Arabidopsis thaliana: one gene and its partners. The protein of the gene in region 3 interacts with the protein of the main gene of each other region in a pairwise test. Each region holds a gene or a part of one and is shown on either strand. Other genes may lie near its edges. The genes, in order: AT4G01410, FACE2, AT1G74370 and AT3G26370.

Region 1 (4,817 bases), on a different chromosome or scaffold from region 3:
TGAAATATGCAGATTTTTGGATTATTCGATATGAGAAACGATGGGGCTATAGATTTTGGAGAGTTTGTACACACACTCAACATTTTTCACCCAAACTCATCACCAAGAGATAAGGCCATATGTATGCTTCATCACTTCTAATGTGTTTATTCATTTATTCCATGTTATTATTATTTTCTATATAGCTAGAGATCAATGTTATTAACTATAACCACAAATACATCTGATCACTTGTTTAAAATTAAACAGTTGCATTTAGATTATACGATACTCGTGAGACTGGATTCATTGAACCGGAGGAGGTACGTATGTAAACTTTGTCTCAAAAAAAAGAAAAAGTCATGATTAATTATATTTGACGGTTTTCCTCGACTTGGAGAAATCTATAGGTGAAAGAGATGATAATAGACGTTCTAGAGGAATCAGAACTTATGCTATCCGAGAGTATCATTGATTCTATCGTGTCTAAGGTGTGTATAACGCTTAAGTTTATGAGCTTGATTTAACATTATAGTGATTTTACTTACTATTTTTGTTTACTTATATTTGGCAAAGACATTTGAAGAGGCCGATTGGAAAAAAGATGGGATAATAGATTTGGAAGAATGGGAGAATTTTGTTGCCACCTATCCTTTGACACTAAAGAACATGACTATCCCTTTCTTGAAGTAATTCGTTTGTTTGTTTTTCCTAACCATTTTCTTAATATTCGCTGATAAATTGCATGTTTTAGATACATCTTTCGTTTTACAAAAAAAGTAATATATATACATCTTTCAAAAACAGCTTTTATATATGTGTGTTTATGCATATATTACTATTATCTTCTTTTATTTTATTTTTCTTGTTTTATAAATCGAGATAATTATTCTAAAATTAACTTTTATTGTACAGGGACATTCCGAGGATTTTCCCAACCTTTCTCCGGTAAAATCAGATGAGGTGTTTGCTAGAGGTTTTTGTTTAAAAATATTTTTATCCGAAAATCACATAGGTAATTTGTTATAAGAAATATAGAAGGTTAATTATTATATAAACATATTAACTATCGAAAGAAATCTTTAATATTTAACGAGGATAGAAAGTAATTGTTTTTAACCACAAAGCTAAAGCTGTGATATGAAAACTTAAAAGCAAAGATCGGTTCGTGAAGACAAAATGGGGTTTTGGAAAAGGAAAAGAGGAAAAAGAAAAAGAACAAACGTGTGAAAATTCGAGAAAAATGGTAACACAAAAAGAAATTGGACATGATATAAGTTGCCAAAACCAAAGAGAAAAAATTGACATGATATACCAATCAAATTTTTGAATCAGGTCAACTAATCAAATTCACAACAATCATCCACAATATTATTTAGATTTGACGCTTTCACTGTTTCACATGAAAATTTTACATTTGACGCGATGACTTGTGGAGTCACGATCATTTTAGTCACTCGTTTTAAACGGATGCTTCATTCAAAAAATGTAACTTATATTCAGAAGACTCCTAACGTCCGATTCAGATTTACAAAAAAACAATATCATTGAATCGGAAAACAGAAAAGCATAGTAATATTCTAAGTATTTAATTATAATCGTGAGGAAATAGTTCCGTAATAATGGGGGAAAAATATATATATGATAAAACCAAAATGAGATTTGCCTGAAGATGCCATATGTCTGATCAAACACTCTGAGCTGTTGTGTCGATGAACTCACCATATGCCAAGATACGCTATTAGCGACAACACATTTGTATTGTCAAATGTCATTAATTAACATCCACAGGTCCAACAACAGAGAAACAAAATAATTATCACAAGTAAAATATAAAATTAGTAATATACTTGTACTTATAATTTTTGGCTTATGCCTTTTAATTTATTTTAACACTAGACTCGACGAAACTCATCACTAACATGACCACAAAAAAAAAAGATTACAATTCTAAAACACAAAGATTAAAAAAGAAAACATAACGAAGTAAAATTAAGACTAGACATCAACTTTACAAGTTGAAGGAGCGAGAAGAGGAACTTGTCCGTTAGAAGATGGATTAAATCTCAACCACACATCACATCTGGCGTAAAATCCATACCGTCCAGTCTTAATCGCACCAGCTTTCCAACGTAGCCTCCCAAAAATCACCACTCTCATCAAAACGACGCCGTAAGCTTCATCATTTTTTAAACCATTAGCTACTTCCGGCGAGACTGGTATACCGTTGCCTCCCATCACCGGAGCTATCACAACCGTAGATTTATGTCCTAAACGAAGCGGTGGTAGTGGAAGCGGCGGTGTTATGATCTGATCTTTGTACGTTACGTACATAGAGAGCTTGTCGTAGTGAATGGAGACTCTCCGGTTAGGGTTTCTTGCTAAAACGCTGAACTGAACGGAGGTTGAGATTAACGGCGGCGCTGTGAAATTCAGGTCGTAGATGGCGGCTCCGACGACGGTGAGACGTGGTTTATGTGGACGGTAGACGAGCCAAAGGATTAAGGCTATGATACCTAGTATGACAAGGATGGTGAAGATCGCGCCGCAGATTGCGCGGCGAGCATCTCCACCGCCTCCTCCGCCTTCTTTAGAGTAAGATTCTGGCGTTGAAGAAGCGGAGGGAGCGTTCTTGTGATCTGCTTTGGCTGCGTGCTCTGCTTTTGCTTCTCCTTCTCCCATGGCTATACTCTACAGATATAAGTGTTAAAGTGTGTATGTATAGGTATGTGTGTGTCTATACGAGAATCAGAGGGTTCGGTGAAGAGTGAAGACTCTAAAGAAGGAGGAGGAGAAGAAAGAAGATAAGTAGATGCAAGGTTTTGTCTCTTTTCTAGTTAATAAGAGTAAACAGTCTTCTAGAGTACAGTTTTATTAATTGTTTATTAACTTAGAAAGCTTGTAGTTGTAATTATGTGTTAAAGCTAATCTTTTTATAAAGTAGCCGTAAATTACTACTGTTTTTACATTGTGATTTTATTTTGTTATAATACTTAATGTAATAATATAAGATAGAGAAGTACTTTCGAAAGACTCCAAATCTCGGTGCAACCGTTCACGTGACGGATCTGATGAGTGATGAATTTTTTAAAAATGAAAAATCCAATGTAACGTGTATACATATGGCTATACATAATCAAATACTTTGTTGTCAATGATTGACTTATTTGGTGACAACTATGGTTTCGTGCAACGTGATAACTATCACTTTTTGGCCGTGTTAATTTTTAAAAAAATTAGAATGAAATTTATCAGGTTACGGCCTGTCAAAGTTAGCAATAACCTAATATCTGTTTGCATGCCAGAATACGGTTATGTAGAAAGAAAATTAAATTATCATATTTCACAATTCTTTATCAACTGTATAAAGCAATTAATAATAAATTAATTAGATACCACATGTGTCATATTTGTTCTAATGTTTAGAAAATAAAAGTACAAGTCTTTTATGTCCACATCTCCAACAATACTTCTGACCAAATTCCATATATTATTAGTAAGCTTCCAAAATAAATAATAATCACATTTAAGAAGAATCTGTTATTTAATCACACTAACTGAGATACCGCACCACCGACACTGTAGTCACCGACAATGCTGTGGATGCTACCTGGGCCTCAATTATAAGCCCATTATAAAATTGGGCCTACACTAAAACTATTGTGTACAGAGAGATATTTGATAATTTGCTGACTGATACAAGTCTCACTTCCAACGGCCGATTTATTAAAAAAAAACTCCGACAAATGATTCGCCGGCCGATCTACGACTTCGCCGCCGTTTTTCGCCACTTAACTTCTCCGTTATCGACATCCTCGCGTTTTCTGTTCTATTCTTCATCTGAACATGAAGCTCGAAAACCGATTGTCTCGAACCCTAAATCCCCAATCGGGTCTCCGACTCGGGTTCAAAAGCTCATAGCTTCGCAATCGGATCCTCTCCTCGCCAAGGAGATTTTCGATTATGCTTCTCAACAGCCCAATTTCCGCCATTCTCGATCTTCTCATCTAATCCTCATTCTCAAACTCGGCCGTGGTAGATATTTCAATCTTATCGACGACGTTCTCGCCAAACACAGATCAAGTGGTTATCCATTAACCGGAGAAATTTTCACTTATCTGATCAAAGTCTACGCAGAAGCAAAGTTACCGGAGAAAGTCTTAAGTACGTTTTACAAAATGCTGGAGTTCAATTTCACGCCGCAGCCAAAACATCTGAATCGGATTCTAGATGTTCTCGTAAGCCATAGAGGTTATCTCCAGAAAGCTTTTGAGCTTTTCAAGAGTTCACGGCTTCATGGAGTAATGCCTAACACGAGAAGTTACAATTTATTGATGCAAGCTTTTTGTTTGAATGATGATTTGAGTATTGCATACCAACTGTTTGGTAAAATGCTTGAGAGAGATGTTGTCCCTGATGTGGATTCTTATAAGATTCTGATACAAGGGTTTTGTAGGAAAGGTCAAGTGAATGGTGCTATGGAATTACTTGATGATATGTTGAATAAAGGATTCGTGCCTGATAGGTTAAGTTACACGACATTGTTGAACAGTTTGTGTAGGAAGACACAGCTTAGAGAGGCTTATAAGCTTCTATGTAGGATGAAGTTAAAAGGTTGTAATCCTGATCTTGTTCATTACAACACGATGATTCTCGGGTTTTGTAGAGAAGATCGTGCGATGGATGCTAGGAAAGTTCTTGATGATATGTTGTCTAACGGTTGCTCGCCTAATTCGGTCTCGTATAGGACTTTGATTGGAGGATTGTGTGATCAAGGAATGTTTGATGAAGGGAAGAAGTATCTAGAAGAGATGATATCCAAAGGGTTTTCTCCTCAT
Region 2 (6,163 bases), on a different chromosome or scaffold from region 3:
TAAGAGAAGTTATCATTTGCTCCTAAGTCCTAAACATATATTATTCGGAAGTAGCTATTAATATAGTTAGATCTAAACAGTGACTGTTGCACCGTACACATTTAATGTACTCAAGTTATTATTATTCTCGATCTCAAGTCACGAGTCTATAACAAATTTCTTTTGGAATTTACTTTCTTCTTTGTATAAAAAAAATCTTTTGGAAGACCCAAAAATTCCCAACAAAGATAGTTGTATATTCGTTGAGGACCGTTCTACTAACCCACCTTCTACTTTAATCACCTTTATATATACGTATTAACCACATAATCAAGTTTAAAACCACAAGGACTCTTAAACCGGAAATTATTTCAAAATCAACAATGACACGTTGTGTTGGTTTGGTTAACCGTGGAACAGAAGAAGAGGAGAAACAAGAAGCAAACGAACCTGAACACGATGGCGAGGGAAGTAGTGAAGAAGACGGCGAAGATGATCTGTTCGAGATAAACCTGGAGGCCGTCAGTGATACGGCCACATCTCCACCGTATGATTGCCAGAGATTACCGGCGAGAACAGGTAGCGTTTTACTGGCCAACTGTCTATTACCAGCTGCCGAAATCTCTAATGCCGTACCGGCAACATCAAGAGGTTGGAGTGATTTGGTTTGGTCTAGAGGGGTTCTCTATGTTGATAATCAAAGAATTGAGAGTAAGAATACTTAATCAGATGTATATCTTACAATTTTACCTTGAAACACAAATACGTATCTTATAGACACTTGAGAGATAATCTTGTCAATATATGCAAGTGTTACGAGTGTTTAATCAGATGGTTTATCACTATCTGGATATCATGGAAGAACTAGGTGAGTATGAGTATATATGGTTTCCTTTGACAAGATCCTGGTAAGGGAGAGACCAAGCCGCCTAAAAGTTTGGTTTCAATTGAGTCCAAGGATCGAAATTGTAGGGTATGTCTTAAGTACATCCACCAGATATATCAGAAATTTTACATCTTTACATTGTATGTTTAAAACAATTGCCTACTCCCCTTTGAGTCAATTTGGATTCTAAAGAAAAGGTGGAACACAAAAATGGTTCCCTCGGAACGAGTGTTGCAACACGAAAATATAGAGATCATTTCTAACACCAGTTCTACTGAATGTTTTAGGAGAAGGTAAAGCTGACAAATACTATGCTCACTCAATTGGACATAGCTGATTCTTCTCGACACATTAAAACAAATTCCATCTAAGAGAGTATGAATTGCGGATAAATCTCTCTCTAATTTCCGTGACACAGCAAATACTATCAGGAAAAGTAAGTGCAGTTCTGGGATTGACAGTAGAAGACGAACCTGAAGCCAAGATCCCATGTCCCTACTTATCTATGCCACCTAATCAGGGAACATACCAACACCGAGCAAACCACTAAATACTAATCACTCTTTCATTAGACTATGCCTAAGTTTCCAACAGCTCTAAAACCAACTCAAAATTCTACTCTACCTACATGGAGCCATACTTTAAGCAAATCTAATGCCAATCATTCCTAAAACTTGGGACCTTTAAGTATAATCCAAGCAAGAAGTCAGCACATCTTCATAGCCTCACACCGGGAAAGTAAATAGCAAAATAAACATGAAATAGGAAGCATATAAACCTCTTCTGCATTAGTACAGAAGCATATCATCCGCAACATCAATTCCAATACTCTCACAAATCTAATGTCCAGGAACAAACTATGTCAAAAGACATATCGACCAAATTGTATAAATAATTCTTAAGTAAGAACCTTAAAGATCAAGTGACAGATACAAACATTGAATCAAATTTCTTAAACACCTTTCTAAATTTATCCAAAAAAGCCTTTACACACCGTGCTATTCCCACCCAATTCAACCTCACATCAAAGAACTTATATTGCAGCCTTTTTTTGCTACTTGCTAACACAGCATCGGAAGTGATTCACGATCTATCAATATGGAATCAAAATATAACAAGAAGAGAGAAGAGAGTATAGATCAAGAAACAAGCGTACGCGATCAAGCCACGGTGCTCTTCTCCACCATCAGCAAGAGATACCACCAATGTAGAGCAGGCTCTAGTGGACCACAACACAAACAAAGCCGCAAGCACAAACCGAACCGGCCCTGCTCCCTGGGGAACGAACAATGACACCGCCGATAAAACCACCACCGGAAGCAAACAGTATCCGACCAAGCTCGTACACGTATGGAGATTAAGGTTCCCATTTCTACCAGCAAGCATGTTAAAGACGACGTATAGAAAGATAGAGGAGACGACGATCCATCCAAGTATGACACCGAACTGGATCTTACCAGCTAACAACTGAAATAAGCAAAGCGCAAGGTACAGAAAGATCGGACCAGATAGATCTGAATCTTTGTGAACAGCTTGGTTAATCCGAAAAGGATTGAGAATCGATCTAGTCTTCTTCCAGATTTGATCTGGATGGATACCGAGCTCGTCGAGTAATGGCTCCTCATCTTCAAACGAAGCTGAACCTCCACCAAAAGAAGAAGAGGAAGCGATTGTCCCGCCGAATGGTCCGGCAGGTGTAGCGGAAGACGCGGCTGCGGATCCAATGTCGAATGACATGAAAGGGATTGCGGAAGAAGAGGGACGCGGCGGTTGAAACGGTGTCGCTGGGAATCTTCGTTGCTGGACATTAGCACCGCCTGAAGATCCACCGGAGGGGAAAACTACAGGTGGAACTGCGAAATCCTTCGTCATCTTCTTTCCGAAATTGAGATCTCACCAAATCAGCAAAGAGATTCGAAATTAGGGTTTCAAGTTTGGATCAATGAGATGAATTTTTTAACCCAATTCACACGTTCGTGACGTTTCAGAGAAAATTCCTTTCTTTTTTTTGTTCTCTTCTTCTTCTTGACAGTGAAGAGACAACTTTAGAAGAAGGCATCTGAGGGTAGTTTCGTCATTCCGTCTAGTTAATGACGAAATATAACCAATAGGCTTCTTCGAAACTGGCATGGTGACGTATATCTTCTGATGATATTACCGTTATACCCTCTTTTATAAACGAAATTGGCCCAATGGGTCTGTTCGGCCCAGTAGTCATCCGTTTTAGTCTATAACGTGGCACGATGTAATTGGTTAAAGATTAGAAGACCGCCGGACTAAGATTTAACCAGCGGTGACTTCGACACTTATTAGCCGGTATATTTCTTCGCCGGAGCTTCCTCAACGATTATGGCCACCGATGGCGAGAGTATCTCGATGTCGTTGGCGGTGGCTACCTGCGTCGCGATGGCACTATTCTACGTTTTGATCCTTTACGTTCCCACCGTGATACTCCGTCTCCCGTCGGCTTCTTCTTACACCGAATTCATGATTCGGCGATTCATCTGCGCGGCCATTTGTACTGTAGCATCTCTCGTCTTCACAGCTTTTATACTTCCGGTAAGCTTCTTTGAGTACCGCCATTTCTCGATTTGAAGTTCATTCTCCGTTGATCTGTAACCAAATTAGGTCCAAATCTAGATGCATTTGGTGTTTTGATGAAAGTTAAACTAAAAGTAAAGAAATTTGATGTATTTGTAACTTTGTTGAGAGTTGAATTAGCTTTTACTAGTTGTTGTAGGTTCACACAATTTGTCTCTAAGAATGTAACACTCAAATATTGGTGACTATGTTGTGTTTGGTACAATTCAACGCTAGTTACAGGAATCTCTGAAACTTGTCTTCCTTTTTTGCTTGAGTAATGTTAGATAAAAAGCTGGGAGGCCTCTTATATACTTGGAGTTTATGGCATAAGGAAAGATCATCTGGTAAGTTCTTTGTCTCAATTTGTTTACTCGTAGCTTATTGTACACTATTCATATTAAAATGGTTATGTTTTGTGATATGGAACAGTGGCAAGGAGTGGTGTATCCTCTTCTATTGACCTCGCTCGTTTATGCTGGGTCTTTGGTGTTGAAGTTGTTTACTCTCCTGGAATCATGGAAGGAAAATGGCGGAGGATGTAGTTCCTTTAATTACATCAGAAGCTTTTTCCAAACAATCCCTGCTTCGGTATTGACAAGTGCTTCTAATGTTTCCGTTTGGCGCAATTTTATCGTGGTAATCATATGTTTGCCATCTCTGTGTGCTTATCTTGTCAATTCTTTATTGAAATTGCATAAGGCATTGCTTGCTAATTGTCTGAGGACTATATGCATCAGTTTGGTGTATAAGTAAGTTCTAAATCGAACAAGTTATAATCTGTTAGAGCTGGCGTTTCTTATGATTTGCAGGCACCAGTAACTGAGGAGCTGGTTTTCCGATCATGTATGATACCTTTGCTTCTGTGTGCTGGGTTTAGGATTAACACTGCCATCTTTCTGTGCCCAGTTCTCTTTAGCTTGGGTTTGTTTCTTTCTCTCTCTCTCTCTCTCTGTGAATAACAGTTTACAACTCGAGTGAAAAGAAAATTACTGGATTTGTCTGACTTTTATATGTTTTGTGTAGCTCACTTAAACCATTTTAGAGAGATGTACATCAGGCATAACCGCAGCTATCTCCGGGCTTCACTTATTGTTGGTATGTCTTTGCCATCCATAATCATAATAATATTGTTTGTTGATCAGTCCTGAGCTTCACTTGTCCGTTGATCAGGTCTTCAGCTTGGCTACACAGTCATTTTTGGTGCATATGCATCGTTTCTCTTCATCAGAACCGGTAACATTCCAGGCATTTATATATCTTATACATGTAAAAGCCTTTCTAATGGATGATTGTCTCCTGCATTGTGTAAATTTTACAGGACATCTTGCTGCTCCTTTGTTTGCTCATATATTTTGCAACTACATGGGATTGCCTGTGCTATACGCAAATGGAAAAGGTAAGACATAAAGTTCAAGGTTGTTAACAAATGCAAATGCAAAAGAATAAGCTAAACATGGTTATGGTTCTTCTCTCAGGTTTGGTGAGTGCAGCGTTCTTAGGCGGTGTGGTTGGGTTCGTCTTACTTCTCTTTCCTTTAACAAAGCCTCTCATGTACAACGATAGTACCAACGATTGTCCGTGTTGGCTTGGCTATTGTTTGTGGAATTGACACTTCTCCAAGTTTTTTTTTATATATCATCATGTCTTAGAATCTATTTTTTGACACAATATTGGAATTATGGTCTTTTACTGCAAGCTAATGTTTCTTGATAGTTTATGTAGTTTTTTCCTTGTAAATATATAATAATAATAATAATTGGTTCAAGTCTCCAAAATTAGTGTTGGCTAATTGTCCATTTTTTTCCGGTATTATCCCTAATGATTCTCTTGCTATCCTAGGAGGGACAGGAAGAAGGATGATCTACATCCCCAAGTCTAACCTAAACTATATTGTCCAATGTCAACACGCCAAAATTCATTTGATTTATATATAAAAATAGAGAAACAATGATTAGAAATTGAACATAGGTCCATAATCTTACATCAGAGATTCAGAAGATGATGTCTTGCTTGATGATCATCCAAAGAGATTTTGGGGGTAATCATCAAACGGATATAATTTTCTGAAAATTATATTTCAAAGTTGACTTTCAAAGTCTGAGTTTATGATGATGATTTTCACTTAGGAGTTACGAAAATTATGTTTCTAGGATTCGTAGGTCTCTCAGTAATTTTCTCACCACCACTTGATTACTATGTCATATTCCTACGAAATTTGAAGCTTGGATAGTTGAATTTATGGTCAATAAATTATCTGTACACTACACATATATTGTGTTTGTGTGAAGTAAACGGTGATTTAACGGGAGAGGATCTCTTCATAAAGAAGATGTGGTTGATTATGCTTGCATATAACAGAATTTGTTGAACCGGAAAATCATCCTCGACAAAACCAATATGCAGTAATCTACTCTAAAATGTATTTTACCCAAACTATACACTACTACTATCTAGTGAGATTCATTACTATTGTTTATGTGGATAGTTTTAAAAAGATGAAGACCAATACTATTATGATCTATTCATAAATCCTATTCTTATTTTATAGTTGTAAGTTGAGCTTTTATAATAGAGAGCATAAATATTGCTGGTATTTGAACTAATACAAACCGTTAAAAAAAGGGAACTAATACAAAAAGAAAAATCAACTAAATTTTCACTAATACTAAAAATTTGCAAAATTATGTTAATTTACGTTTATTTATTTATATTATA
Region 3 (5,029 bases):
AAGAGATGGATTCCAGCGGAGTTCCCTCCGTTCAACTTTGTATACGCAATTCTAACCAAAAAGAGTTGCAGAAGCCTATGGGACCATGTTCTCAAAGGGTACGGTCTCTTTCCTGTCTGTTCTGCTGGTTCCACGGTACGCACGCTTAAAATTTCAGCCTATCTTCAGCTCAGTGGAAATAAGTTTTCAGGTGAGATTCCTGCAAGCATCTCTCAGATGGACAGGCTGAGCACACTACATTTGGGTTTCAATGAGTTTGAGGGGAAACTGCCTCCAGAGATAGGACAATTGCCTCTTGCATTCCTCAACCTTACTCGAAACAATTTCTCGGGCGAGATTCCTCAAGAAATCGGAAATCTGAAGTGCCTGCAGAATCTTGATCTGTCTTTCAACAATTTCTCTGGAAACTTTCCAACGAGTTTGAATGACTTGAATGAGCTGAGTAAGTTCAACATCTCATATAACCCTTTCATTTCTGGCGCGATACCAACAACAGGACAAGTAGCAACCTTTGACAAAGACTCCTTTCTTGGAAATCCGCTGCTGCGGTTTCCTAGTTTCTTCAACCAATCAGGGAACAACACGAGGAAGATTTCCAACCAAGTCCTAGGAAACAGGCCAAGAACTCTTCTTTTGATTTGGATTTCCTTGGCTCTTGCATTGGCGTTTATTGCATGTTTAGTGGTATCAGGTATTGTACTTATGGTTGTTAAGGCTTCAAGGGAAGCAGAAATCGATCTCTTAGATGGGTCGAAAACCAGACATGACATGACTTCCAGTTCAGGTGGATCATCGCCATGGCTATCAGGAAAAATCAAGGTCATTCGCTTAGACAAATCAACTTTCACATACGCTGACATTCTGAAAGCAACCAGTAACTTCTCTGAGGAGAGAGTGGTAGGTAGGGGAGGCTATGGAACTGTTTACAGAGGCGTATTGCCTGATGGAAGAGAAGTTGCAGTCAAGAAGCTTCAGAGGGAAGGCACAGAAGCAGAGAAAGAGTTCAGAGCTGAAATGGAAGTTCTAAGTGCCAACGCATTTGGAGATTGGGCACATCCGAACCTCGTGAGGCTATATGGATGGTGCCTAGATGGGTCAGAGAAAATCTTGGTGCACGAATACATGGGAGGCGGGAGCTTAGAGGAGCTCATCACAGACAAAACAAAACTTCAATGGAAGAAACGTATTGATATAGCCACAGATGTAGCAAGGGGATTAGTGTTTTTACACCACGAATGCTACCCTTCCATCGTTCACAGAGACGTCAAAGCCAGTAACGTTCTTTTGGATAAACACGGGAATGCGAGAGTGACGGATTTTGGACTAGCAAGACTCTTAAATGTAGGAGATAGCCATGTGAGCACAGTGATTGCAGGCACAATCGGGTATGTAGCTCCCGAGTATGGACAAACTTGGCAAGCCACCACAAGAGGAGATGTTTACAGCTACGGAGTATTGACCATGGAACTCGCGACGGGTAGAAGAGCTGTTGATGGAGGAGAAGAGTGTTTGGTCGAATGGGCAAGACGTGTAATGACAGGTAACATGACAGCCAAAGGTTCACCAATAACCCTGTCAGGGACCAAACCAGGGAACGGAGCTGAGCAAATGACTGAGCTACTAAAGATTGGTGTGAAGTGTACAGCTGATCATCCTCAGGCAAGACCAAACATGAAAGAAGTTCTAGCTATGTTGGTTAAGATATCCGGTAAAGCAGAGCTCTTCAATGGCTTATCTTCACAAGGTTACATAGAAATGTAAAAATCTTTCTTTCTTTTCTTCTTTCAGATTTATTATACAGAACAACAGAGTTTTCTTCTTCACCATTTTTCGTTTCATTGTTTCTGATTCTTCTTGTACACAGAACCTCATTGTTATCAGACAGATAGGGATAGAGAAAGGTAGTTTTGTTCGCAATGTACAGAGACACAATCTGAAAATAAAGATCTTCTCTTCTTCTTGTCTATATTGAGTGTAAACAACGTTGGCTCTATCTCGTGTTTCTTACAAGTCAGGAAACATACAGGAAGAAAGAAACAGTACAATGAGTCAGGTTGCAATCTCTCTGATCAGCCAGTTTAAGCTCGGGAAGGCAAAATAAAGGACGAGAAACGACGGGACAGCCAAAGCAAACGTAACAAAGAAATAAACCCCGAGAACTGCAGCACTCACAGGGATTGCATATAAAGCCATCAACAGGAATATGACTACCAGAGGAAACTTAGCCAACAAATGAGCAACAAGAGCCATTGACTTACGTACCGAGTCATGGAGCCTCCCAGTTCTGAAGAATCCTCTGGTCACACCATTCCACCAGCTGCGATTGTCCAGCAACCCTTCATCACCCAAGGCGGTATTACTCACTCCATCACACCTATTTCTCAAGTCTCTCTGCCCTGAAGCAACCCTTTTGTTGTCGCTGGGTGCCTCCGATCTGGAGCCATTCATGCTTTCTACCATCCACAGAAGGTAAAAGTTCTTGGAAGGAAATCTGATGGTTCCATTGCAAACCAGCCTTAAAGAGAGAATATTGCACCAAGGGCAAGCAACGAAGAAGGGAAGCTGGAATGGTAAAGCAGAGGATTTGATGACAATGGCACGTTGAAGCCCTAAGAGACAGTACTTGCAGATTGTATGACCACACCATAAGACATAAGGTACATTCTCAACAACGTTGAATGATTCCCAGCAAATGGGACACTCCAATTTTTCTTCCTTTGTTGTCTTTCTTCCATCTCCTGATCTATCTAAAGTAGCTCTTCTTGGTTTTGTAGCAGCTTCTTCTCCCTTCGATATAAAACCTTCTCTGATCGATTTTGAAGCTAAATTCCACATAGCAATGGAGGGATCCACAAAGATAATCACTTTGAATCTTTCTCTCTGCAACAAGAAAATCACACACACATACACTACATAATCAGATATGAGATTTACAATCCAACCCCCAAAGATTGGACCGAGAACATACAAAAAGTAACGAACTTGATGAAACCCAAGAAATCATTAACAGAATTACAGAAAACGAAATACACTTACAAGAGTTTATCCGGTCATGAAGATGAAGATCATTGCAAAAACAAAAAATGCAACAGCTACGTCGTTGAGTTATATAATATCTCCGAAGCTCTGATGTAACCAGCGAGAAGAAAACCGGCTGAAAAAGAGACACGCGTCGTAAAACATGGTGACTCTGAAACGCCTTTCAATGTTTCCGCCGCCCCCACCGATTTCCTCACCTTATCCGTTTCTGTTTTCAGGTTTAACTACCAAAACGCATCGTTTCACTATACCGCCAAAATTAAACTACCGGTTTAGTTCCGTAATTTTCTATTACCGAAATCGGTTAAAGTAAAATAGTAGTTGTCGGTGAGAGTGAGCTGTACGCGTTTCTTCTTCTCCTTGTGCGCTTTCTGGATCGAACGAAGCATTTTCCTCCGACAATATATTTTTAAGTAATGACAATGTTTCCGCATTATTGGGTTTAATTCCATTTTTAAATTAGGGTTCTTCAGATCGACAAATCTTTCTCTTTCTCTTTCCCCGATCGGAATCATGCTAAAGATCTGAACTTTTTCTCAGATCCGTGAATAAGTAAGTACGGAGAGACAGAAACATACTCAGACTGATCTGAGGAAAACAAAGTTGATGGTCGCAAACCTGTAAGTGAAATCTATAGAGAGAGACGTTGAAGAAGAAAATGGGTCAAGATGGTTCGCCGGCGCATAAAAGACCATCCGGAAGCGGCGGAGGACTTCCGACGACGACGTTAACCAACGGTGGAGGAAGAGGTGGTCGTGGTGGTTTGTTACCTCGAGGTAGACAGATGCAGAAGACGTTTAACAACATCAAGATCACAATTCTCTGTGGTTTCGTCACAATTCTCGTCTTACGTGGCACTATCGGTGTTGGTAACCTAGGAAGCTCAAGCGCCGATGCAGTTAACCAGAACATCATTGAGGAGACTAACCGGATTCTAGCTGAGATCCGATCTGATTCGGATCCAACCGACTTGGATGAGCCTCAGGAAGGTGATATGAATCCCAATGCGACGTATGTTCTAGGTCCTAAGATCACGGATTGGGATAGTCAACGTAAGGTATGGTTGAATCAGAATCCTGAGTTTCCTAGTACTGTCAATGGCAAAGCTCGAATCTTGCTTTTAACAGGATCTCCTCCTAAGCCTTGTGATAACCCCATTGGTGATCATTATCTTTTGAAATCTGTGAAGAACAAGATTGATTATTGTAGGCTTCATGGAATTGAGATTGTGTATAACATGGCTCATTTGGATAAGGAACTCGCTGGCTATTGGGCAAAATTACCAATGATTAGGAGGTTGATGTTGTCTCATCCAGAAGTTGAGTGGATCTGGTGGATGGATAGTGATGCTTTGTTCACTGATATACTGTTTCAGATCCCTTTGGCTAGGTATCAGAAGCATAATCTAGTGATTCATGGTTATCCGGACTTGTTGTTCGATCAGAAGTCGTGGATTGCTTTGAACACAGGTAGTTTTCTGCTGAGGAATTGTCAGTGGTCGTTGGATTTGTTAGATGCTTGGGCGCCTATGGGACCTAAAGGGCCAATTCGTGATGAGGCCGGGAAGGTATTGACGGCTTATCTGAAAGGTAGACCAGCTTTTGAGGCAGATGATCAGTCAGCATTGATCTATCTCCTGCTTTCTCAGAAAGATACATGGATGGAGAAAGTGTTTGTGGAGAATCAATACTATTTGCACGGGTTTTGGGAAGGTTTGGTTGATAGGTATGAGGAGATGATAGAGAAGTATCACCCGGGATTGGGTGATGAGAGATGGCCATTTGTGACCCATTTCGTTGGGTGTAAACCGTGTGGTAGCTATGCTGATTATGCAGTCGAGAGGTGCTTGAAGAGTATGGAGAGGGCCTTTAATTTTGCAGACAATCAAGTGCTCAAGCTGTATGGTTTTAGCCATAGGGGATTGTTGAGCCCCAAGATTAAGAGGATCAGAAATGAGACAGTCTCTCCTTTGGAGTTTGTAGACAAGTTT
Region 4 (6,884 bases), on a different chromosome or scaffold from region 3:
GTTATTCTATACATGTTAACCAATTGGCTAACTTCTTTAGCCATTGTAGGTGTCACACTCGTCCCTGGAGATATGGAGTACAAAACAGGCCGATCAAGCTCCTTTAGAACCTGCGACAAATAAGAACAATGTTTCATCTCTATGTACCTCTGACTTTAACCAGAAGATTGGTAGTTATCACAAATATGTACCTCTGACACATAAGTTATCTCCTCTATATTGAAGTCAGTGCCAAATACGCAGTCATGTTTTACTAAAGACCAAGAAAGTGAGACAAGATTGAGATAATCATATATCGAATAAAGTTAAAGAAGGTTACGGAAATGAAGTCGATTCTCTTACTGAAATCAACGCCCCATTCTGCATATTGACGATAAAGAGACCTCAAGAATGCTTTTCCTGCACCTAACTTGGTATTCACACTCATGAACCCATGCGACATCCAAACACAAGCCCTCTCCTTGATCCCAATATCTTTCGCTCGCCACTGTCTACCTGATTCTTCATAAGCACCTCCCTTCAACCATTAAAAGATTCACTTGTTGATAACTTCCAAACAAACTTCATAAACTCAGAAAGAATCAATCAACTCAATACCTTAACACTATCCATAACGAGACTATTTGCGTTATAAGCTTGTGTGCTGATTCCTCCCATAACATGAATCCCAAACTTCAAACCCATTCTATGAACTTTCTCAGCAACTTCAGTGAAACCTTTACCGCCTCTAGAAGATGGCCATCTACCTGGATCAGGATGCAATCTTCCCCATTCATCAATCACATCAAACCCAAGAGAATCCACATAAGCTCCTTCAACTTTCTTTCTATACCAAAGGTAATCCACCACAACATACTGTATCCAAATCAACACACACAAACACAAGCAATTAAAAACCTAAACTTTTACATTCTAAAGGATAAAGAAACTCACAATTACCTGATAACCATGAGGAAGAAGACGCTTAGAAACAATTTCAGCACTCTGCAAGAACTCAGCTTCAGAGATAGTCCAACAAAAGGAATCGTACGAATTCCATCCTCTTGGAGGAAAGCTAGCATGTTGTTGCCTCGACCTTGCTTCAATCGATAAACTGAAAAAGACGAAACTTTTGTGATTGATCGATCACTCAAACACCACCCACTCAAAAACCAAAATCAAATTCAAAAACCCAGTGAAGCGGAGTACCTAAAAATGGATAGATTAAAGATGATGAAGAAGACAGTGGACCGGGTCGACCCGGTTTTCTCTACGGATAGTCCGGTCATAGAGATGAGAACTGATTACGATAGCTTCTGATTTTGTTTTCCTCTTTTGTTGTTGAGAACCTGAGAGTAAGAGAGAAGACAACACGCAATGGTTGTGTTAATGGCGGGTACTATTAGAGAGCGTGACAAAAAATTAAGAATTGGATTAGTAACCGTTGAGCTAATTTTCTTTTAATTAAAGTTTAGTGCATCAATTTGATCAAATTTAATATAAAAAAGAAACTTTTTTTTCATCACTAGGAACTTTACATAATATCAAAATGATTACAAAGATGGTAAATGAAGACTTCAAAGATTTGAAAGGTCAAAAAAGAAGAAGAAGAAGAAGAAAACTACGAATCTCTATAGTTTGTTGCTCCTCATCAGACAAAATCCAAGACCAAACAAAAGCATCATCATCAAGCTTTACACATGCATGGAGTGAGAGGATTTTCCCAAAGATCATAGTTAGGGAAAGTTTCTTCAGGTAAACCGGTTCGTGTTTGATGGGTTACAACTACATCTTCCACAAAAGTTGCCCATCCCATGTAAGGATCCCCAAATGATTTCGACATCAACCCTTTATCCGGTTTGATTGATTTCTGGCGATGCCCCATATATCTACGCGCTCCGATGATCAGTTTTGCAAAGTTTCCACCGTGTGTCATCACAAATACATCTGATTTCAAGCACACCAAGAAATCTAGAGCCGCAAGACTTGTAACGTGTTTTCTAAACGTTGTTAGTTCCTCTTTGCCTGCTAAATCCTCCTTTGTTACCTGATTCAAAGGACAGTTAATGTGAGAGACAAGTTTGTGCTGATTCATCAAAGAATTATAAGAGTCCGGTGTTGTGCTTACCAAATTTGGGAACATGTTTCTTAGTGGAGCCATACGGTTTTGACCGCCATAGACTTGACCAGATGCAACATAGATTTGTGTTTCTTTTGGATAGCCCATTGCACGTAGGATCACAGCAACTTCTCCTGGCTCAAGAGGGCATCGACCTTCTTTGCGCTTCTGCAAGGCGAGCTGCCAGAGATGGGAACCATTCTGCAATATATGTCAAGAAATTTCATTAAGGTAGCGGTTGAGGTTGTTTAGCCACCAAAAGAAGTTGACAACTGCTTATAAATGTCACCTTGAAACGCCGAGGCCATTCCTTTTGTCTGTATTCTGCCATTTTAACTTTCTCTTCCCTTGTCCCCACAAAATCACAGAACGATAGACCAACCATTCCTTTCTCGAATCTAAGATGAAGAGCCCTATACAAGAGACATGGGTATAGTTTTAAGTTGATATAATGCATATGGTCCTAAGTTATAACAAAGTCGAATCTCTGATATGGCATACATATATGGATTTGGATTTCCAGTGCGATTTCTCATTCTAGAAACAAGTGAATCAGCCATCTGCTCTATCTCTGGAAGAAATTTGAGAGCATGATAATTTACACGGCATCGTAATCTGTTGATTTCTTGAGGTACATTGTCATACCTGAAAAAATTTCCAGCATCACAAGAATAAATCATTCATTGTTTATAAGACGATTTCCAAAATCTGAGCACTAAACTATAGGAATATTGGTTATACCCAAGTCGATCGACAAAAGGCTTCAAGGCCATTATCTTCTTCTCCTTTATCCGAGGTAAAACATTGTCAATATAAAATTGGGCTGCTGCATATTTGGGAATGTTTTTGACTGTTCTTCTGCAGAAGATAAATAAATAACTTGGTCAACATCATATCTGATTAAAAAATACAGATCGATTTTTAAATCAGAGATATACACAAGGAGCACCCAGTGACGCCATAATTCCACAAGCTAACTTTTGAAATCGTCCAACAAGTACATCATCAACAAATAATGAGTTGACAAGCAAACCTTATACTAGAGAATAGCTCTGCTTTGTCAGTGAACCAGTCAGGTATGTCTCGAACAATTCGGACATCATCCTTCAAGTAATCAATGAAATGATCTACATCAAAAATGTCTTCAAATTTTCTGCAAAAGAAAGTTAACAAGCTCAGTAAACCAAAAAGAAAATAGAGAAGTAATTCAAGATGAAATGAAATCAATATCTGAATATGATTTTACGTTGTGTCTTTCCATATTTGGTCCTGCTTCAGTACTGGTAGAATCAGTGTTGCATTCATAATCTTGGCAACAGCTACTGCGTTGCAGATCTGGAAACAAAAGGGCATGAATTCAAGATTGGACGATGGCAAGAAGAACAACAGCCATTTAGACATTGATCCATGATTGGATAATGGCGAGAAGAAAAAGAGATAAAAGTTGGAAGATACATACAGCAATTCGCTGCTGATTCAAACCACCTTCAGCATGAATGAATACATAGCCATTTGTTTCATTCTCAGGAGGAAGATCTGAAAAAAACAGTTGACACAATCTAATAAGCTAACCAAGGAAAAAGACTTGAACTTTCACGAAAAGACAGATCAATAACACATGACAATGTGTTTCGACGAAAAAAAAAAAATAAAAAAAAAAAATAACACATGACAATGAAAATGACAATGCTCTAGCCCTTCAATACCTGAGATTCCACCAATCCGCCGCTCAGCACAAGGCTTCCAAGAAGTTGTTGCAGATAAAGGATTCTCCCAAGGAGAAGGTGACTCTTTTACCTTACAAATGCAAACCAACACACAATTAAATTTACAGGATTCAAAGCTTATGCATTCAACAAAACACATAACCAAAGTTTTCAAACACTTACATGAGGACAGTTTAGCACAATCCCATCTTTTTTACATAAATAAGGAGCATTCTGCAGAAGATAGACATAGAAGCAATCTTAGTCTGAGAACAATGTCAATCCAAATCCACCTAAATAAACAAACCCCTTTACTCAAAACAAAGCTAAATACTTTTCCAAATCGATTCCACAGTTAGAACATAGAGCCTTGAAGATCTCAATTCCTAGATCGAAGGAAGAGACTTACCAAGTGATTAATAATCCCATAAACTGAGATCAAGCTAGCAATAGCGAGAATCAAAATCAATAGAAGCGAGATTTTATTCTTCTGAGGAGAAACCCTAGGATCATCACCGAAGAAAGGAAACAAAGAGTGAAACCAGATCGGACGGTCTCGATCTCTAGAAGGATGACGTGGGCGACCATCTTCGTCGTCTCCGCCGTTAGGAGAGTGATCGTGTACATGAGGCGATGAAGAATCCTCATCTCCGGCGGCACGTAACGGAGAAGAAGAAGATCGGCTACCGAGAGAGCTCGAGTGCCGTAACTCTGCCATTGCTCGCCTCGGACTAAAAGTCGCCAGCTTAATTTCTATATCCTCTCTTCCTTTTCTTCCTCTTCACTTTCTCTGTAGATAGATACAGTGCTTCTTCAGCTCTACTATGTGGACGCTGCCATTTGAGAGAGAGCTTGGAGATTCGAACACTCCACAGAGAGAGAGAGAAATTAAAGAAGCTTTTTTTTTTTGAAAGGCTTGAATGTTCTTCTTTAAAGTCAATACTCTCTGAATCAAACAGAAGATTAGATTTAAGGATATTTACAAAAACATCCCTATATCTCATAAAACTTACATAACCACCCCTATATTAGTAAATTCTCTGGTTTTTATCTCATTTCCTCCATCGCCTCTTTTTTAACCTAGACATTCTCCATCATCACTCAAATTGGCTCTTTGATTCTCTCCGGCGAGATTCCGACCGGTAAGTCGAATTCAGATCCTATCACTGTCTCTCGTCAATCTCATTTACGTTTTCAGAAACATACTTTTTCAGAAAACAAGTAAAAGAGATGAACACGATAGCGAAGCGAGTTACGGGGTTGGTGACTCGTCCGAGTCTAAACCAGCAGTTGCAGCAAGAGCGAGGGATAAGAGTGAAGGTGTTCTCCAATGATTTAGACAAGGCACTGACGATTTTGCAGAAGAAGATGCAATCGAGTGGAATGGAGAGGCTGATCAAAGGGACTCAGACTCATCACATTAAGAATTCGGAGAAGAAGGTTCTCGCTAGGAAGAATCTTGAACGCAGAATCAAATCCATTGACTTTGCTCGAAAACTCCAATCAATCCTCATCAAGAAAGTCAGGTAATGTTTTCTGATTTTTCTCAAAAGCTTCACATTTTTTAGGGTTTTAATGGTGTTGTTTAGTTTAGTAAGATCTTGCGTATTTCTTATTGTTATTCTTTGCAGAGGTTTATGAGAGCTGAGGTGAAGCAAGAGTGCTGCTATGTTGATCAGTACTAGTATCTGTGTGTGATATAACACAGTTTTACATTTTGAACTTTTGATGAGTTGAATCAATGTGGAATTGGAATTTTGGATTTGATTAGTTGTTTACTCTATGGCTTCTCTTTCGTAAGTTTTCAATGATCTTGAGAAAGAACATCAGATCTTAGGAGTACATGTATTGAAAGTTGTTTCAGGGCAAGTGCGTTGCTTCTCCTGCACTCTGTATGACTGTGTTCTGTGGGTCTCTGTGCTTGAATTGTGTTTCTTGTTCCGGCCATGATTACTCTGAGATTGTTCTGCTTTCTTCGCGTGTAAAGCGTAGGTTAGCTCTTTCCAGGCGTTTACACTTTCATTTTATGTATATTCATGTTACTATATACCATGCCATGCCAAAGAATGGGGATAAGAGATATAGGAAGAACAATTGCACCGAAGATCGTGGAAAATACCTTTTGTATGGGTTTAGTTTTCAGTTTGCTTCCAGCTTTTTTACTAGTATCTGTTTGGTCAGGCTCGATTGGTAGTTGTCTTTGTCAACGTTTGCAGTAACCGGCATTGCAGAGTTGGTTTCATGTTTGATGCTGCAGAAATTGAGCAGAGAACAGAGTATCTACCTGCAGAAGCAACGTGTTTCGCATCAGATTTGCGCTAACTAATCTGCGGCCTTCTTGATCTATGGGAGACATATCTTAACATGTTCATAGTTTACTGACATATTCGACAAGTTTTCGTAAGTTGCTCTGAGAATCAACATCTTTCCCCTGGAGTGAGCTGAAGTAGAAAGATTGACATATTCATGACTGTTACTGTAAGTCCTTAACCCTGTCTCTCCTAAAATCGAGATCTTTTTATTTGGGTTTTAGATAAATTGGACCGAGTAATTACAATTTTCTTAAAAAAACTTTTGAATGAGAAAAAGATACAGAGAATGTTTTTATACTTTTTCATGAGATTAGAAACTGATTTTAATTTTAGTGCAAGGAATCTACAACAAAGATTACTTGCTTCGTGCTATCACTTTCCTTCTTTATTTTGTTTTCTACAACAAAGAATCCTTACTTGAACTTGTCACCAAGTTATTCTCTCCCTCTCTCTATCTCATTTAGAAACTTAAAACAGTTCAAAATCTCTCTGTTCTCATTCTTTCATCTCAAGTCTTACTTAACTTAGTTTCCTTTGATGCTTTTTAGCTTCTTCATCTAAATGTCTCATCATCATCACCATGAAACTAACCCTCATTTTGCGCGAATTCCATCGCAGAATCCACATCTCAAAAGCGGTGGTGCTTCTACCTCACAAACATCTTCGAACCAACCACACATCCCGCCCATTCCGCACCCAAAAAAATCGCACCACAAAACCACGCAACCTCACCCAGTAGCTCCACCAGGAATCCTAATCAAGACTCGT

What was found.
Region 1: the proteins of AT1G74370 (region 3) and AT4G01410 interact in a protein complementation assay, tested with the Arabidopsis thaliana proteins (one large-scale study listed by BioGRID).
Region 2: the proteins of AT1G74370 (region 3) and FACE2 interact in a protein complementation assay, tested with the Arabidopsis thaliana proteins (one large-scale study listed by BioGRID).
Region 4: the proteins of AT1G74370 (region 3) and AT3G26370 interact in a protein complementation assay, tested with the Arabidopsis thaliana proteins (one large-scale study listed by BioGRID).

Annotation. Positions count from the first base shown.
Region 1 is NC_003075.7:576,152-580,968, reverse strand, and holds AT4G01410 (Late embryogenesis abundant (LEA) hydroxyproline-rich glycoprotein family), read right to left. Parts: upstream 2,942-4,817; 5' UTR 2,662-2,941; coding exon 1,978-2,661; 3' UTR 1,682-1,977; downstream 1-1,681. Other genes in the region: CBL5 (calcineurin B-like protein 5), read left to right, coding at 13-121, 250-302, 390-470, 556-668, 895-931; AT4G01400 (oligomeric golgi complex subunit-like protein), read left to right, coding at 3,726-4,817.
Region 2 is NC_003071.7:15,211,393-15,217,555, forward strand, and holds FACE2 (farnesylated protein-converting enzyme 2), read left to right. Parts: upstream 1-2,993; 5' UTR 2,994-3,214; coding exon 3,215-3,424; intron 3,425-3,732; coding exon 3,733-3,792; intron 3,793-3,877; coding exon 3,878-4,084; intron 4,085-4,257; coding exon 4,258-4,369; intron 4,370-4,471; coding exon 4,472-4,543; intron 4,544-4,618; coding exon 4,619-4,681; coding exon of another isoform or gene 4,682-4,737; exon of another isoform or gene 4,738-4,766; coding exon 4,767-4,844; intron 4,845-4,923; coding exon 4,924-5,057; 3' UTR 5,058-5,221; downstream 5,222-6,163. Other genes in the region: AT2G36295 (uncharacterized protein), read left to right, coding at 363-704; AT2G36300 (Integral membrane Yip1 family protein), read right to left, coding at 1,970-2,737. UniProt on the Arabidopsis thaliana protein: Protease involved in the processing of a variety of prenylated proteins containing the C-terminal CAAX motif, where C is a cysteine modified with an isoprenoid lipid, A is an aliphatic amino acid and X is any C-terminal amino acid.
Region 3 is NC_003070.9:27,956,151-27,961,179, forward strand, and holds AT1G74370 (RING/U-box superfamily protein), read right to left. Parts: upstream 3,251-5,029; 5' UTR 3,037-3,250; intron 2,881-3,036; 5' UTR 2,836-2,880; coding exon 2,050-2,835; 3' UTR 1,936-2,049; downstream 1-1,935. Other genes in the region: AT1G74360 (Leucine-rich repeat protein kinase family protein), read left to right, coding at 1-1,761; XXT5 (xyloglucan xylosyltransferase 5), read left to right, coding at 3,698-5,029; AT1G74385 (uncharacterized protein), read right to left, coding at 4,575-4,820.
Region 4 is NC_003074.8:9,654,524-9,661,407, reverse strand, and holds AT3G26370 (O-fucosyltransferase family protein), read right to left. Parts: upstream 4,729-6,884; 5' UTR 4,523-4,728; coding exon 4,214-4,522; intron 4,039-4,213; coding exon 3,988-4,038; intron 3,896-3,987; coding exon 3,805-3,895; intron 3,635-3,804; coding exon 3,558-3,634; intron 3,434-3,557; coding exon 3,345-3,433; intron 3,252-3,344; coding exon 3,132-3,251; intron 2,957-3,131; coding exon 2,840-2,956; intron 2,744-2,839; coding exon 2,600-2,743; intron 2,512-2,599; coding exon 2,388-2,511; coding exon of another isoform or gene 2,325-2,387; exon of another isoform or gene 2,300-2,324; coding exon 2,108-2,299; intron 2,027-2,107; coding exon 1,667-2,026; 3' UTR 1,463-1,666; downstream 1-1,462. Other genes in the region: AT3G26380 (Melibiase family protein), read right to left, coding at 1-110, 192-253, 343-517, 598-855, 940-1,093, 1,189-1,268; AT3G26360 (Ribosomal protein S21 family protein), read left to right, coding at 5,035-5,330, 5,436-5,445; AT3G26350 (proline-rich receptor-like kinase), read left to right, coding at 6,678-6,884. UniProt on the Arabidopsis thaliana protein: Glycosyltransferase involved in the biosynthesis of pectic type-II arabinogalactans.